Arabidopsis thaliana: one gene and its partner. The protein of the gene in region 2 interacts with the protein of the main gene of each other region in a pairwise test. Each region holds a gene or a part of one and is shown on either strand. Other genes may lie near its edges.

What was found. Proteins that work in one complex are often made in the same cells at the same time.
Region 1: the proteins of MYB12 (region 2) and AT5G66980 interact in binary tests that used the Arabidopsis thaliana proteins (3 or more experiments, as listed by UniProt).

Annotation. Positions count from the first base shown.
Region 1 is NC_003076.8:26,738,147-26,744,020, forward strand, and holds AT5G66980 (AP2/B3-like transcriptional factor family protein), read left to right. Parts: upstream 1-3,396; 5' UTR 3,397-3,416; coding exon 3,417-3,485; intron 3,486-3,573; coding exon 3,574-4,084; intron 4,085-4,164; coding exon 4,165-4,283; intron 4,284-4,374; coding exon 4,375-4,680; downstream 4,681-5,874. Other genes in the region: AT5G66960 (Prolyl oligopeptidase family protein), read right to left, coding at 1-42, 128-269, 349-571, 648-826, 983-1,347; AT5G66970 (P-loop containing nucleoside triphosphate hydrolases superfamily protein), read right to left, coding at 2,299-2,501, 2,580-2,679, 2,755-2,979; AT5G66985 (uncharacterized protein), read left to right, coding at 5,266-5,517.
Region 2 is NC_003071.7:19,473,447-19,481,045, reverse strand, and holds MYB12 (myb domain protein 12), read right to left. Parts: upstream 4,721-7,599; 5' UTR 4,609-4,720; coding exon 4,476-4,608; intron 3,682-4,475; coding exon 3,552-3,681; intron 2,657-3,551; coding exon 1,804-2,656; 3' UTR 1,449-1,803; downstream 1-1,448. Other genes in the region: CAO (chloroplast signal recognition particle component (CAO)), read right to left, coding at 7,144-7,599. UniProt on the Arabidopsis thaliana protein: Flavonol-specific transcription activator involved in the regulation of several genes of flavonoid biosynthesis. Activates the expression of CHS, CHI, F3H and FLS1. Controls flavonol biosynthesis mainly in the root. Confers tolerance to UV-B.

The sequences.
Region 1 (5,874 bases), on a different chromosome or scaffold from region 2:
TGCCAAACCAGAAAATGGGTCAGCTGCATTTATCAGAAAGACCTAAGACATAGTACTTGTTATGATTTCAAGTCATTCAAAAACAATAAAAACTAAAGCTTTTAGCAGATCAATTTGGAGCTTTCACCTTTGAAAACGTAGTAGAGAATGTATTTACAGTTACAAAGTGGAAATCTTTTGTATGTCTTATGTTAACGTGAACATTGCCCTCGAATTCTTCGTGAAGCAAAACATCTTCATCCGTTGACCCGATCGTGCTACAATATATCCTGATAACAGAACAAAAGAAAAAGATTCATACAGGCCATTTTTGGAAGAACCTAACAACCAAAACTGATCATACGAAACCTGCATGGCCGTTTTTTCTGATCAGTAACGACATAGAGCAAAGCCTGCCCATTCTTTGCCCACGCTATGTTAGAGACACGATCTGCGTGAGGCTTACTACATAAAGCTCCAGAATTCAAGTTTCTCACACACAACTTAAAGTAATCGTTATCCTTATCATACATAGTATATGCTAGAAATTTATGGTCAGGAGATATCTCTGACATTTCCTCATAAGCATAACCTACAAAAGAGACACCAAAATTGCTTATCCCTCTTAATCCACCCCAAGTATAAGAGCCTCAAATATGCTTATTTACCTCCAAATCTCTCAGCTTCCTGATTGTAATCAAGCAGCTTCTGCTCAATCCTCTTCCCAGATGTGTAATCAAACCCTGCAGCAGGAGACTTATGAGAAATGAACTCCTCGTGCAAGCTCGCTAGCCTCCTACACAGTACTGGATACTGCTTCCCTTCTTCAACCCTTCTATAATACAACCTAATTCCACCAATTCTCAACCAAATCAATGTCCAATTGCAGCAAAAAGGACGAAACTTTCAAACTAATCGACGAGTTTACAGATAGAAAAATCCAAGCTTTTTATATCTTAAAACGATGCTAAACAAGAGAATCAGTATAATTCAATTGACCCACCAAGGTCCCCAACGAAGAGGAGGCGTGGAGAGCTCAAAGGACAAACGAGAAGCCATTTCAGACTGAAGCTTGGTCTGAATCCGATCAGTATCAGCCAAAACGGCTTCGGTATACTTCTCCTCTTGCTCCATATAGATATCCATATGCCTCATCGCCACTTTATCTTCCAGCTTAGACATCCAACTGTATGGATCCTCCCACGTCGCGTCGTGGAAGGTGAAACTCTGCGGCTTCTTCGGCGGTTTTGGTAATGCTGGTGGTGGTGGAGGAGGCGGTGGAGACTTCGGAGGCTTGTAACAGCGACATTGTTGTCGCCGGAAACGGCAATTATGACGGGAAAAGGTCCGAGAGAGATTGCTCAACATTGCCTCCGGTTGGTTATTTGGGGGTTTACAGGGTTTTTGCGTCTCAGGAAATTTTTGTCATTAAGCTTACAAAATCGGACCCTTCTGAATCAAAGAGAGGCTTTTGTCTTACACAAAAATTCAGATCATTCTGTATTATACAAAAAACAAAGAAAATTCAGATCATTTTATATAAATTTGGATACAAAAAAACTATTTAGATTTAGCATGAACATTGAAAAACATTCGACAGTACCAAAAACTAGACGTATAGTGCATGCAGTACTTGTCTTCCGATCATATCCATACAAGCCAAATTAACACATAGTTATACAAAATTATTTGTTTTAAACATAAGTATATGATATAAATACGTTGGAAGGCATATGAGGCATAATTTGTAACCTCAGACGTTGGAAAAGCGCAATCTGTACGGTATATGATAATCATTGCGAATCCTCTCCTTAAGCTCCATCTCCGTATCCCTCTTGACCTTCGTCTTGAACGCTTTCATCATTTGCACAACTTGTTTCACATCTACTTTTGATGCCTCAGCTATCTCCATCATCCGTTTTGATCAATAAACCATGCATAAACATGCCATAACTTATTATTACCTTCATCTGTCATGGACTCCATTATTGTCGTGTGCAGCCTAATCTTCTCGTCGTCTACCTTTGAAGAAGTACAAGGACCAAGGCGGGAAAGCAACTACAATGAATTTGGTAGAAAGTTACGATGTCTTGTATTCGCTATAGTAAGTAAACAAGAGTTTATTGAGAGATGATACTATACATGTTTCTCCAATCCTAATCGTCGCTTATAATAACGATACATTATTCTCAAAGTATATGCATATGGCTTATCCCATGGGTTTCCTGCACAAAAGGTGGACCAATCATGAGTGTCCATACTCATCAATAACGAGAAACCAAAGCAAACAAGGCTAAGACATGAAGGAATTTTGCTTACTCAAGAGACTCCTGACAAAAGCTTCAGCTTGAAATACTCAATATATATATACCTTGCGTAAACTGGAACCTCATCTTTGGCAGCCTTGTTGAGACGGACAAAAGCATCGAACTTGAAAGTATCAGCACACACTAAAGCTGGTCTGAATCCCTTCTTCCGGTGGTAACGAGCATACTTGGCACACGTTTTGGTCTTGTCAACACCTACACTCATATTTCATAAATACGTTTTCTCAAACATGTTTACTAAGAAAAACAAAAAACAGAGAATGACTAACCGACCTCGTAATCCGATGAACATGACTATGCTAGGTTCAAGCTTTCCCCGAATGAGTGCAGATTTTCCCGGATCTAGCTTACTAGAGAGCTCCTGTAACATCATCTGAAGCGGTGGTTCCGAGTTAGTTAAAATCAACTAAGGAGATTAGGGACATAATTACAAAGAAACAATCGTCACCATGTAGATTAGGGCACCCTTCTTCTTGGGCGCCTTAGGCAGATTGATAATTTCCAGACTTTTCGTCTCAATCTCATCCACGGCCAATCTAGGAATATCGGCGTCAAGCAAAGCGCATGTGATCTCGTTCAAGCAACTCTTCAGTTTCGTGCAGTCCATGTTGCTTGTTTTATTCATCTCTTCAAAAGACCGGCCTATCCGACCCCTCACTTCCTCCAACGCCATCCAGAAAATTAGAGATTCGGTCGCGATTTACAGGTTAGGGCTTTGGTTTTGCTCGGATACATAAATACGTCTTGCCGGGACTGCCCCAGGTTTGGCTGTTTAATAAGTTGTAAAAATCACAAGTTTTACAGTTTACACCCATAATAGTAATAATAACAATAAATTAGGGGAGCGAAAGCAAAATTCCTGAAATTTGTTTTTCCTTTCTGCCCAAACAAAAAAAAAAGGTTTTATTCCTTTATTTTTTCCAACCTTGTCAGACTTTAGAACATCACATAACAGACGACAAAAAAAAAAAAAAAAAAGAACATCACATAACAGCTGTTCCTCTCATCTCTCTTATAAGGTCCTCTGCTTCTGAGATCTTCGTTGCTTCTTTGCCTTCTGGTTTAGTTTAAAATCAATCACTACCAAAAGCCCTAATCACAGAAGAAATCATGGTTGATCTCAGTAAAGACTTACAATTTTTCAAGGTCTTTCTCCCTGAATTCGGTTCTCACGAACTGGTATACTTGTTTTATATCTCATCAGTTTATTCTTATAATATCAAAATATATTCCATGCGGAGATTAATTTACAAAAATAAATCTGCAGGTGATTCCTCCTGCATTCATCGATATGTTAGAGAAACCATTACCTAAAGAAGCGTTCTTAGTCGATGAGATTGGACGGTTATGGTGTGTAGAGACTAAAACAGAAGATACAGAAGAAAGATTCTGTGTTTTCTTCACAAAAGGTTGGCAAAGTTTCGCAAACGATCAATCTCTTGAATTTGGAGACTTCCTTGTCTTCAGCTACGACGGCGATTCCAGATTCTCCGTTACGATTTTCGCTAATGACGGATGTAAAAAAGATGTTGGTGTCGTCTCAACCACGGATAGATCTAGGGTTTCTCTTGATGAGGAAGAACCGGATGATATTTTTACTAAACCGGATCGTATGAGAGATTGTGATTGTGGCCAGAGCATTAACCGGAAACGGAAACGCGATTCGGTTAATGAAGACCCTCACGTACTGGTTGATGATAAACCGGAGTATGTTTCAACTTACAAAACCAAACCGGAGCATAGTGAAAAGACTCAGAGAACAGTTAACCGGGCTGGAGGTAATTATTAACATGTTTTTTTTTGGTTTAATTTACATTATTGCGTTTTTTAACTCTTTTTTTCATTCGGTGTTACCTAGATACTTGTGACATATCATGGTTTCCAGAGAAGAAACACAATGGATTTGAAGAATCGGTTTACAAACCCAAGCATCCGCATTTTGTTAGGAATATCACAAGAGGTTCACTTCAGAAATTGGTGAGCTTAAAGAACCTTTTTTTTTATATAAATCTGTATTAACTCATAATAATGGTTGTTTACATAATATCAATTTCTATGTGTTTGCTAGGAATTACCGTTAACTTTTCTGAGATCGAACGGGATTGAATTGGAGGAAGATATTGAGCTTTGTGATGAAAGTGGAAAGAAGTGGCCTTTGAAGATTCTGAATCACGACAGAGGATTCAAGTTCTCGCATGAATCATGGTTGTGTTTCTGTAAAAGCCATGAGATGATACTGACCAATAAGTGTCTATTTGAGTTTATTGTCCCAAGTAATGGGAGATGCAGTGAGATTCTAGTTCGTATTGTCAGTGGGAGATTGCCTACCACTATGACCAAAAATAATTACCAAGTTATTGATATGCAACCTTAAAATAAGTAAACAAATATATGTTATGTTTCGCTTCTATTGTGAATTTTGTATATATCATTTGACTATTCCGTTTCTACATTGTTTATGTGTCATACCGTTTAATTTATCAGAAAATTTAATTAGAGAATAGAAGTCAGTAGTTGTAATATTAAAAATCAACATGATGGATTGAAAAAAACAACAACAACATGATTATGTTAATTGTCGTTATGTCTCGTTACGCAAGCAATGACAAAGATAAAGCAGTCCATTAAAGGGATTAAGAATGCACTAATCGCATGAGAATTGCACGTAGGAGAGCACATAGTTTGTGTCCCTTTCTTATAAACTAATGAAATGCCAAATCAGCCACCAGTTTTCACAGAACCAACGGGACAAGAGCCCACGTAATATCTATTATTCTTCCCTTAAAAGATGTTTTTTTAATGTAACAAGTTGCAATTATATGAATGCGAAGTCTCACCAATCCATTAATATATATAAATACACACGAGTGTGTGTTGTTTACTACACAATTTCTTCTTCGTTCCATTAACAACAACAACAAAAAATCGGAAAGCTTTCTAATTTTCTTTCTCTACTACAATGGAATTTGCGACTTCGAAAGGAGAGGAGATTTTGAAAGATGAGCAAGTGTCCAAGCAGCTACACCTGATATCGTCTGAAACGCAAACGCAAACGCTGAACAAAAAAGCCGTTCTAAACCGCATCCGCAACCACAAATGTATTCACAAAATCAAGAGTCTTCTTCACACCACCGCGGCTAACAACGGAGCCACCGTCGACGCTGATTATTATCGGTGGATTGATAGCGGCGATGTCTTTTCTTGTCCGTGACAGAGATTTTGACACGTGTATGTCACGTGTGTTTGTGATTCTCTCTTTTCTCTAGTATTCAAGTTCAAGTTGTGCTATATGTAATCCTAGTGAGTAGTGATTGTAGTTTTCGATGTTCATGATGAATTGAATCATTGATGAGTTCACCGCAGATCTTTACTGGTTTCATTGTTGGGATGCGGTAATGGATAAATTGGGCCATGACTGATTATTGTTTTGATTGGGCTTTCTCAAATATTAATAAAAGCCCAACAAGTAGAATGGTTTTTAGCGCAATAATACATTGCAGCTAAATCGAATCAAATACAGTATACTGTATAACACTGCTTGGAGAGCGTAATCAATCAGCTTCAAAGT
Region 2 (7,599 bases):
GCTAGGCTTAACGAATCATCAAAACATTTCAATGTTTTAAGTAGCAATCTTATCTATGATAGTCTGATATCTACAAAGTGTTAACATTCACATTGTTATTTTAAGAGACTCAGATTGAACGTTTCTTTTTTAAAGTTGAAATTTTATATATAAATTAAGAAATGATTTTGATACCTGGCCAATTCTTCAGCGGATCAAAGACTCTCTCCAACATCAAACCTCACAAAACATGACCTTAAGGTGCATTCACTTTGAAAAATCTCTTAATACACACACATAAAACTACAAAAGTTTAGCTGTTTATTAGTATGCCATTACCATATAAATTTCAGTTTTAAAAGCAATTTCTTCAGTTTGTGTGTTGAGAAATTATATTCCAAGGCATACTAACAATTTTCTTAGAGATAATTTGTTTAAACTTTAGATATCACTATGAAATTTTTCAATTTTTTTTATCAATCAATTTTCTTTTTGTTAAACAACATATTAGAATAGAGAAGAAGGAAAAGTACATGACATCACGTGGGCATTCTAGATACCGTGGAACCAAGTCGGACTTATGAGAAAGCGATCTTTTTATTTCTCCCTTATTGTCTCTATTTACAAACTTTTCCTTTGTGTTTTTTGTACATAGCAAATTTGCAAGTTGCCTTCTGTTCATAAATTTAATCTTCGAAACACAAATTTAATGCGTAGGCCGTTGCCCACAAAATGCATATGTCTAGGTCCCTATGATGTTTATAAAAATGAAGTCGTTGGTGCATGCTTGCTATTGGTCATCTAATCACTAGTTAGAAATGGTTGAAATTGTTTTTTTTTCATAAAATTTGCCGAGTTCAAGATTCTTAACTCTTAAGATCGTATATCATTTTCGGTCTGCAACTAAGTTTCAATGCTTCTATACGTTAACTCAAACCATGATAATTACATTAACATTATAAGGACGCATATATTATAGTGTTATCTGTTGTCAACTATATATATATAGATTACTTACTACTCATTTACAGAATTGGGTTAATTTCATGTCTCTACGATAAGAAGGACAAGAGTTAATTTGATTGTTCCAACATCCATAATAATTGAATATATATCTACTTGTTTGGAGTTTCGTACAAAGGAGAGTTGGAACACTCAATGTGAAGATTCGTTCATGTCACGTTCCAGTAATCACTTGAATGGCACGTGATGATTCGCAGATGTGATGCAGCTTTCTGTTGGTGTACAAGAACAAAAAAAAGGGGGAAAAAAACTATGTTTACTCGCTTCAAAATGATTGAGGTAATAATATTTGGCCGGCAATATCACAAGAGAAAAACAATGATAGTTCTCGTCGCTACTCCGATTGTTTGACAATGATGATATGTATTAAATTTTAGGAGATGAGATTGATTACCAGTTCAGAAATATTAAACGTGATTTTACATTCCGAAAGAGGTACATATAATAGATGCTTCCAACTAAAGATTTTCTTTTCTAATTTGGCGTATTTAATGTCAATAGAAATATATACAGCCCAAACAAATGTACACCTACATTTCGTACCCTCTTTATTAAATTACATGAAAATAGTAAATACGTTACAAAGAAAAACATCATATTAGTTTAATTCTTCCACTAAAGCAAAGACTGCAATATTTTAACCTTACGTACAATCCAAACATCCCATGGGTTTTATTGCATTAGATAATTTTAACTAATGGACTAATATTTAGATCCTAAACTTTATGATATGATACGACGTGGAATAGATTCAAACTGTGAATGCACAAAAAAGATTACATAACGGATCAATCAATATCATCATGACAGAAGCCAAGCGACCAAAGCGCTTTCGTCGTCATGATCTAACGGTTCTCCAAAGTTCTCACAATTACTATTCCCGATCGTGGCCTCATCATCACCGTCTAAAAGCCACGAGACCATTGAGTCGGGATTCTCTTTCTCATGCCAAAGATTATTATCACTACCTTCTTGCCAAACACAATCCCAATCGATAAACTCATCCGTCGACGCATCGTTAACTTGGTGGTCGTAGTTGAGAAACGACTCCACCGATGGACAAGACTGAAGAAGACAGTCGAGATTCCCTTGGTTCCAAGTATCCGAGAACCCTCTGGCTCCTTCAGAGTCTCTTATGTTATGCAACTCCCCATCACCACCGCACGTTGTGTTTGTGTACAAGTGGCCAGGATCTGACTCGTCCAACAAAAGATCGATGATATCATCATCAAACGTTAAAACTCCATTATCGCCATTAATGCTCATGAGATTTTTGTTACAATCATCTCCATAGTAGTCACATGGTCGTCCTAGCTCAGCCTCGGCTCCACTTGACTCCACCATTAATGCTTCTTTATCAGCCCCAGCTACATCGGCGTTAGGCTCCGGTGGTGCAGACGTTTTCTTCGTTTTACGAGTTTTTGTTCTGTGGATTTTTGGTTTCATAGCGGACCTACTCGTTCTCCCAAGTCTGCGTTTTGCCTGCGGCGGCGGTGGCGCTGAAGAAGCGTTCGTCATGATTACGGCGGAGACGTCTTGAGAGATGGATGGCTTCCTAATGAAGTTGTGGAGTTTACGGCTGAGATGAGAGTTCCAATAATTTTTTATTTCGTTGTCTGTTCTCCCTGGTAGATGACCCGCGATTAGTGACCACCTACATGCATTGCATTAATCAATAATTAATCCTCTGTTCATTGCATTATATTAATCCTCTATTCACAATTTGGAACAACCTTGATAAAATTAAATATCTTTCCGGGGAATAAGAGAACCTCGTGGCCCAATGAGAATCAATAGAATAGTGTTCTAAATTTGATTTGCCATGTTGATATGACTGCTGACCTAATCATGACATCGCTCGAGCAATGTCAGTAATGAGTGACGATGACTAATTCGTACTACTCTCGTTGAGTTCCTTGTCCGATTTCCAATATTGGATTTATTTTAGCGGACACTACTATGAATCACATATACTTGTTTAACGTTGAGTAATAATAATTAAAATTTTAAATAAACAGATCCTCGCTTTTTTTTTCTCATGTTTACTAGTTTTTCATGTTGAAAACTTGCAATACATATGTGACTGTATTTTGTTTGAAGTGTTGTTGTACAGATGCACATGTGTTATATCAACTGTGTTCCTATTAATGCTTATGTAATATACGAAGTGTAAAAAAAATGAGGTACAATTTAGTTTGTCTCAACTAAAAGAGAAAAAGTCTAACACCCCAATGGTTAAGAGGAAGACCCACAACGAAATAACTATTTCTCATTCGACGATAAAATAGTATTTTTATTTTACCATTTCGACTTTAAATTAAATTTTCCAACCATAAAAATGTGCTTCGCTAAAGTTTATAGTATTTAAGAGAGAGAATAATCGTAATTAAGCCGTCTTATAATACCGAATCTCCACTTACTTGGTCGACATGATATCATTATTATACGATACAGTGCATAAAAACAAATTGAACGAATATAAATGGGAAAAAATGAAAAACATAATAAATAAAATAGAGTTTGGAAAATAAAGTAAAATAATAGAGTACCTGTTTCCCAAAGTGGAATGCAATTTAACAACGAGTTCTTCTTCTTCTGGAGTTATGTTTCCACGCTTGAGGTCTGATCTTAGATAGTTTATCCATCTCAATCTACAGCTCTTTCCACACCTTTTTAATCCTTTTCCAAAAAACAAATAAAAACAATTAACAATATAATAATACACTTCATATTTAGATGCAGATTCATACGTCAAAATATATGTTTATGCAGATTTTGTTAGATAAATTTTGATAAAGTTTTCAGGTATTTATTAATTTAACTAGGGTCTGATGTGTGACTGCTCACGAGATTCTTAGCTTTTTGATCATTGTATTTATTCATATATCTTATGCATATAATATATATCACAACTACAAAAAATTCTCAACTACTACATTAAGTAACCTTCTATTAAAAGCGAGGTTAGAAATCAAATCAAAACTAGTCATATGGTTTTGATCTGATTCTTGAAATGATATACAACGGACAAAAATACATAAATACGCTTCTGTTTGTATTTCCTTTTAAACATTTGTCCATATACTATAAGTCTATAACATAACCTACCCTCTTAAAGCATGCACTTGGCAGCATTTTACATATATCTACATTAAACAACCCACCGTGACTGTGATTCGCACGAAAAAAGAAAAACCCAAAAACTGAAATAAATTGGAAACAAAGATTAGGGTTGCAGTTAAACTTCTAACCTTCCTAAAAATTTAATTTATTTTTTAAAAAACTTACTAACAATCCTTAATTCTTTTATCAAAAGCAAAAAAAAAAAACTGACTAAGAATCCATGTTTCATGAAGATTACGACAAGAACCACGATTATTTCTCTATGTCTTATTCTCTCATATATACATTGTTATAGATTAAATTAAGTTTGTGTTGCATGATCTTGTTAATAAAAGTGTAAATGTTATTACCGGCATTTTTGGGGAGAGATCTCCAAGAACCTTCACCGTTGGATTGAATGTAGTTGGAGAGAATCTGGTCCTCCTCCGCCGTCCACCGCCCTCTCTTGATACCGACCTTCTCGCAACATGGCGCTCTTCCCATTTTCTCCGGCGGTTATATGTGTTTATTCCACTGACCACAAAAGTCAAGGCAATGGAGAGAGAGAGAGAGAGTGTGTAAGTGAGAAAGAGAAGTTACTGAGTGACAGACAACAGAAGCAAAAAGTGACTGATTTAGATATATATAGGGGCAGGTGATATATAGTTAATTAATTAATTGAAAGGGATTAAAAGAGCTTGCGGGTTCGAGGGAGAAGGAGATGATGACACGTGTGTGGTGTAAGAAGCGCCACGTTGGTTTAGAAGGAGACTGAAGTCGTGGCTTATTCACCGTCGAGAGACTCGTGGTCGGTCCGTGCAGGTTCGTCGTGGTTCTCTTAGACACTAATTCTAGTGTGTGCCGAGATCATTGACGTTACTTTTTTATTAACACATAAGATTTTTTCTCTAAAGTTAGTAGATCTTTATTGAAATTAATTGTTGTTTGTCACGTGAATACGTAGATCAGATAGTAATCGCACATTTTTTGTTCTTCTTATAATTTTGATAAAAATTATATAAAGGATTTACGCCGGATCCTCCTAGTCCGTTGACCAGATGGTCTTTTGCTCGAGCTACAAAACACGTGTGCGTTCATATAAACACGTGTAAATTTACGTCAGCGTGTTAGTGATAACCACACAATTCACTTATTGCAATAACACAATGAATTAAGTATGTAACAAGTATATGTTCAAGAAAGAGAGGTCATCTAAATTTGAACTTAGAATAAAGTCATCAGATGGTCCTAATTAAGCAAACGAGTAGTTAAAGTTTGTTAATGTCTATAACAACGCCGGAAGACGATCAATCTGTATAGTCTGCCATATTCGCTGCCAGTCCAAAATACTGAAATATCAATTATATTCGACGGAATCTTACGGAATCTTTTGAGAAATAAATTTTCACAGGTTTCCTTATCTAACTCGATACACGAAAATATGAGGACAACCATCAAAATATGTTTCCCATTTACTGCTCATCTAACTACGTGTTCCCCACATGTCATTATTTGCCGTTTCGTATGGTTTTGGTACTTTCGTTCGTATTTAGATTGGTCTACTAAAGAAAAGACTTTAGTACATACTATTCAATATTCAAAATTAAATACAATGGATTCAATATTTTGAAAGCAACTCTTTCATTTTCTTTCCTATAACTAGAAAAATTTGGACTGAAACCAAAATTACTTTTTAATTTATGTAAGAAAAAACTTAGTATGTTGTCATTGAAATAACTAAATGTGGTTTTATTTAAGTGAAATAGAGCGTCGTTCAATTTGAAAGAAAAAGCAAGAAGTCATTTTTCGTAACACTAGCTAATTTATACCTTACCAACCACACACATCAACTAAAATACATACAATACAATGTTACAAACCATATCACTATCATTTAATTGGTTAAAAGGTCTCATATATAAACCTAGTTACGTTTCATACAAAATCTGAAATATGTAGTGTTGTTAACTGTGACGTGATGTCTTCTGTGGTCTGATAGTATAATATAAAACCCAGTGAAAACTAATATATTTGGCATCAATTTATATTAATCGACTGGAGGACTTGGCTAATGTGGTCGCGGTTAATCGACCTAGTTCCTTGTTTTCTCTAATCTATAATCTACATAATTGTTGTTTGGTTGGTTGTCCAACAGTAATTTGGTTGTTATACTAAATATATTTGGTTGATTTACGTACGCATGTTGTTTACAAAAAGAAACTTTTCTCATCCGTTCATGTCACTATAACTAGAAGTAACACACATGACTAGAGGCCCCTCTCGAATTAAGAGGAAAATTACAAACGAAAAATAGGCGATCGTTGTATTCACAAAGAAACGAAAATGTGTACTAAATCAACTCCGTCCTTTTTGTCTCCTTATGTCCATCATCAACGTAACATCACATGCACTGAAAATCTAGATGCTCATAATAATAAAAGTCTAGCCATTAACTGACAAACCAAAATTTCTCTCATATAGACACAATGCATCGAATATCGTCAAAAAAAAAAAAAAAAAAAAATGATGTTGAATTAGAGAAGAATGGATACTACTTATTCATATTTTCTAGTCATTTATTCAGACTTTGTATCTTTCTATAATTTCCTTAATCGCAAAGTGCAGTTGTACATTATCACTCTTCAGAAGTTGTTTTTATCACCAACAAATGTTACAAGAAACGGACCCATAAATAAAAGTTGTGTATTGGGTTTACATGTACTCTCTTCCTATATGAAATATATAGGCCCAATTAAATGTAAATGGGTTTTGAGATAAAGAAAAGCCTAAGACGATGTATTCTCTAAACCTGGGACGATAAAGAGCAAGTCAGCCAGCATCATGAATCTCCCCAAAAAGGGAAGCAAAATTCAAAGCATGGATATAAAATCAAATAGTGTCCCCAAAAGGCCAAAAACCATCAAGATCACATCTTAAAAGAAAATGAAAATGTACCGGTACGTACCAACCGAACCGGTCAGATGAACCAACACATATGAGAAAGAAGCAAATTGAGAAGAATGTAATCATCAAAATCAATCATTCATTCATTGGTTGTTGTTGTTGGTAGAGTAGAACAAGAGTAGAGTCGACATTGTCCTGAGGCTCCCAAGTGGCATCAGACATATCAGTCCATTTGACAAGATACTCGATGGTCTTCCCATCGTCTCCCACCCTCTTCCCGATCACACTCTCCGCTACAGCGTACTCCAGCCCATCCTCGTAGTCCTTAGCCACATCTTCCGCCACGTGTACACCTTTCACCCACTCGCAATCTCCACCGTCCTTCCATCTGACCAGATATTCAACGTCTTTGCCTTTCCCTCGTTTCTCTACGATCTCATCCACCTCGGCGTACTCGAACACTTGTCCTTCCAGGACATTGATCACTTTCTCTAACCCAATTCTCCTCCCGAACTGCATCGGATTCCCCTTCGGCGTCGTCTTCAGAATCTCCCTCGCTAGTTCCAACGCCGTTAACCCTCTCTCGTCTTC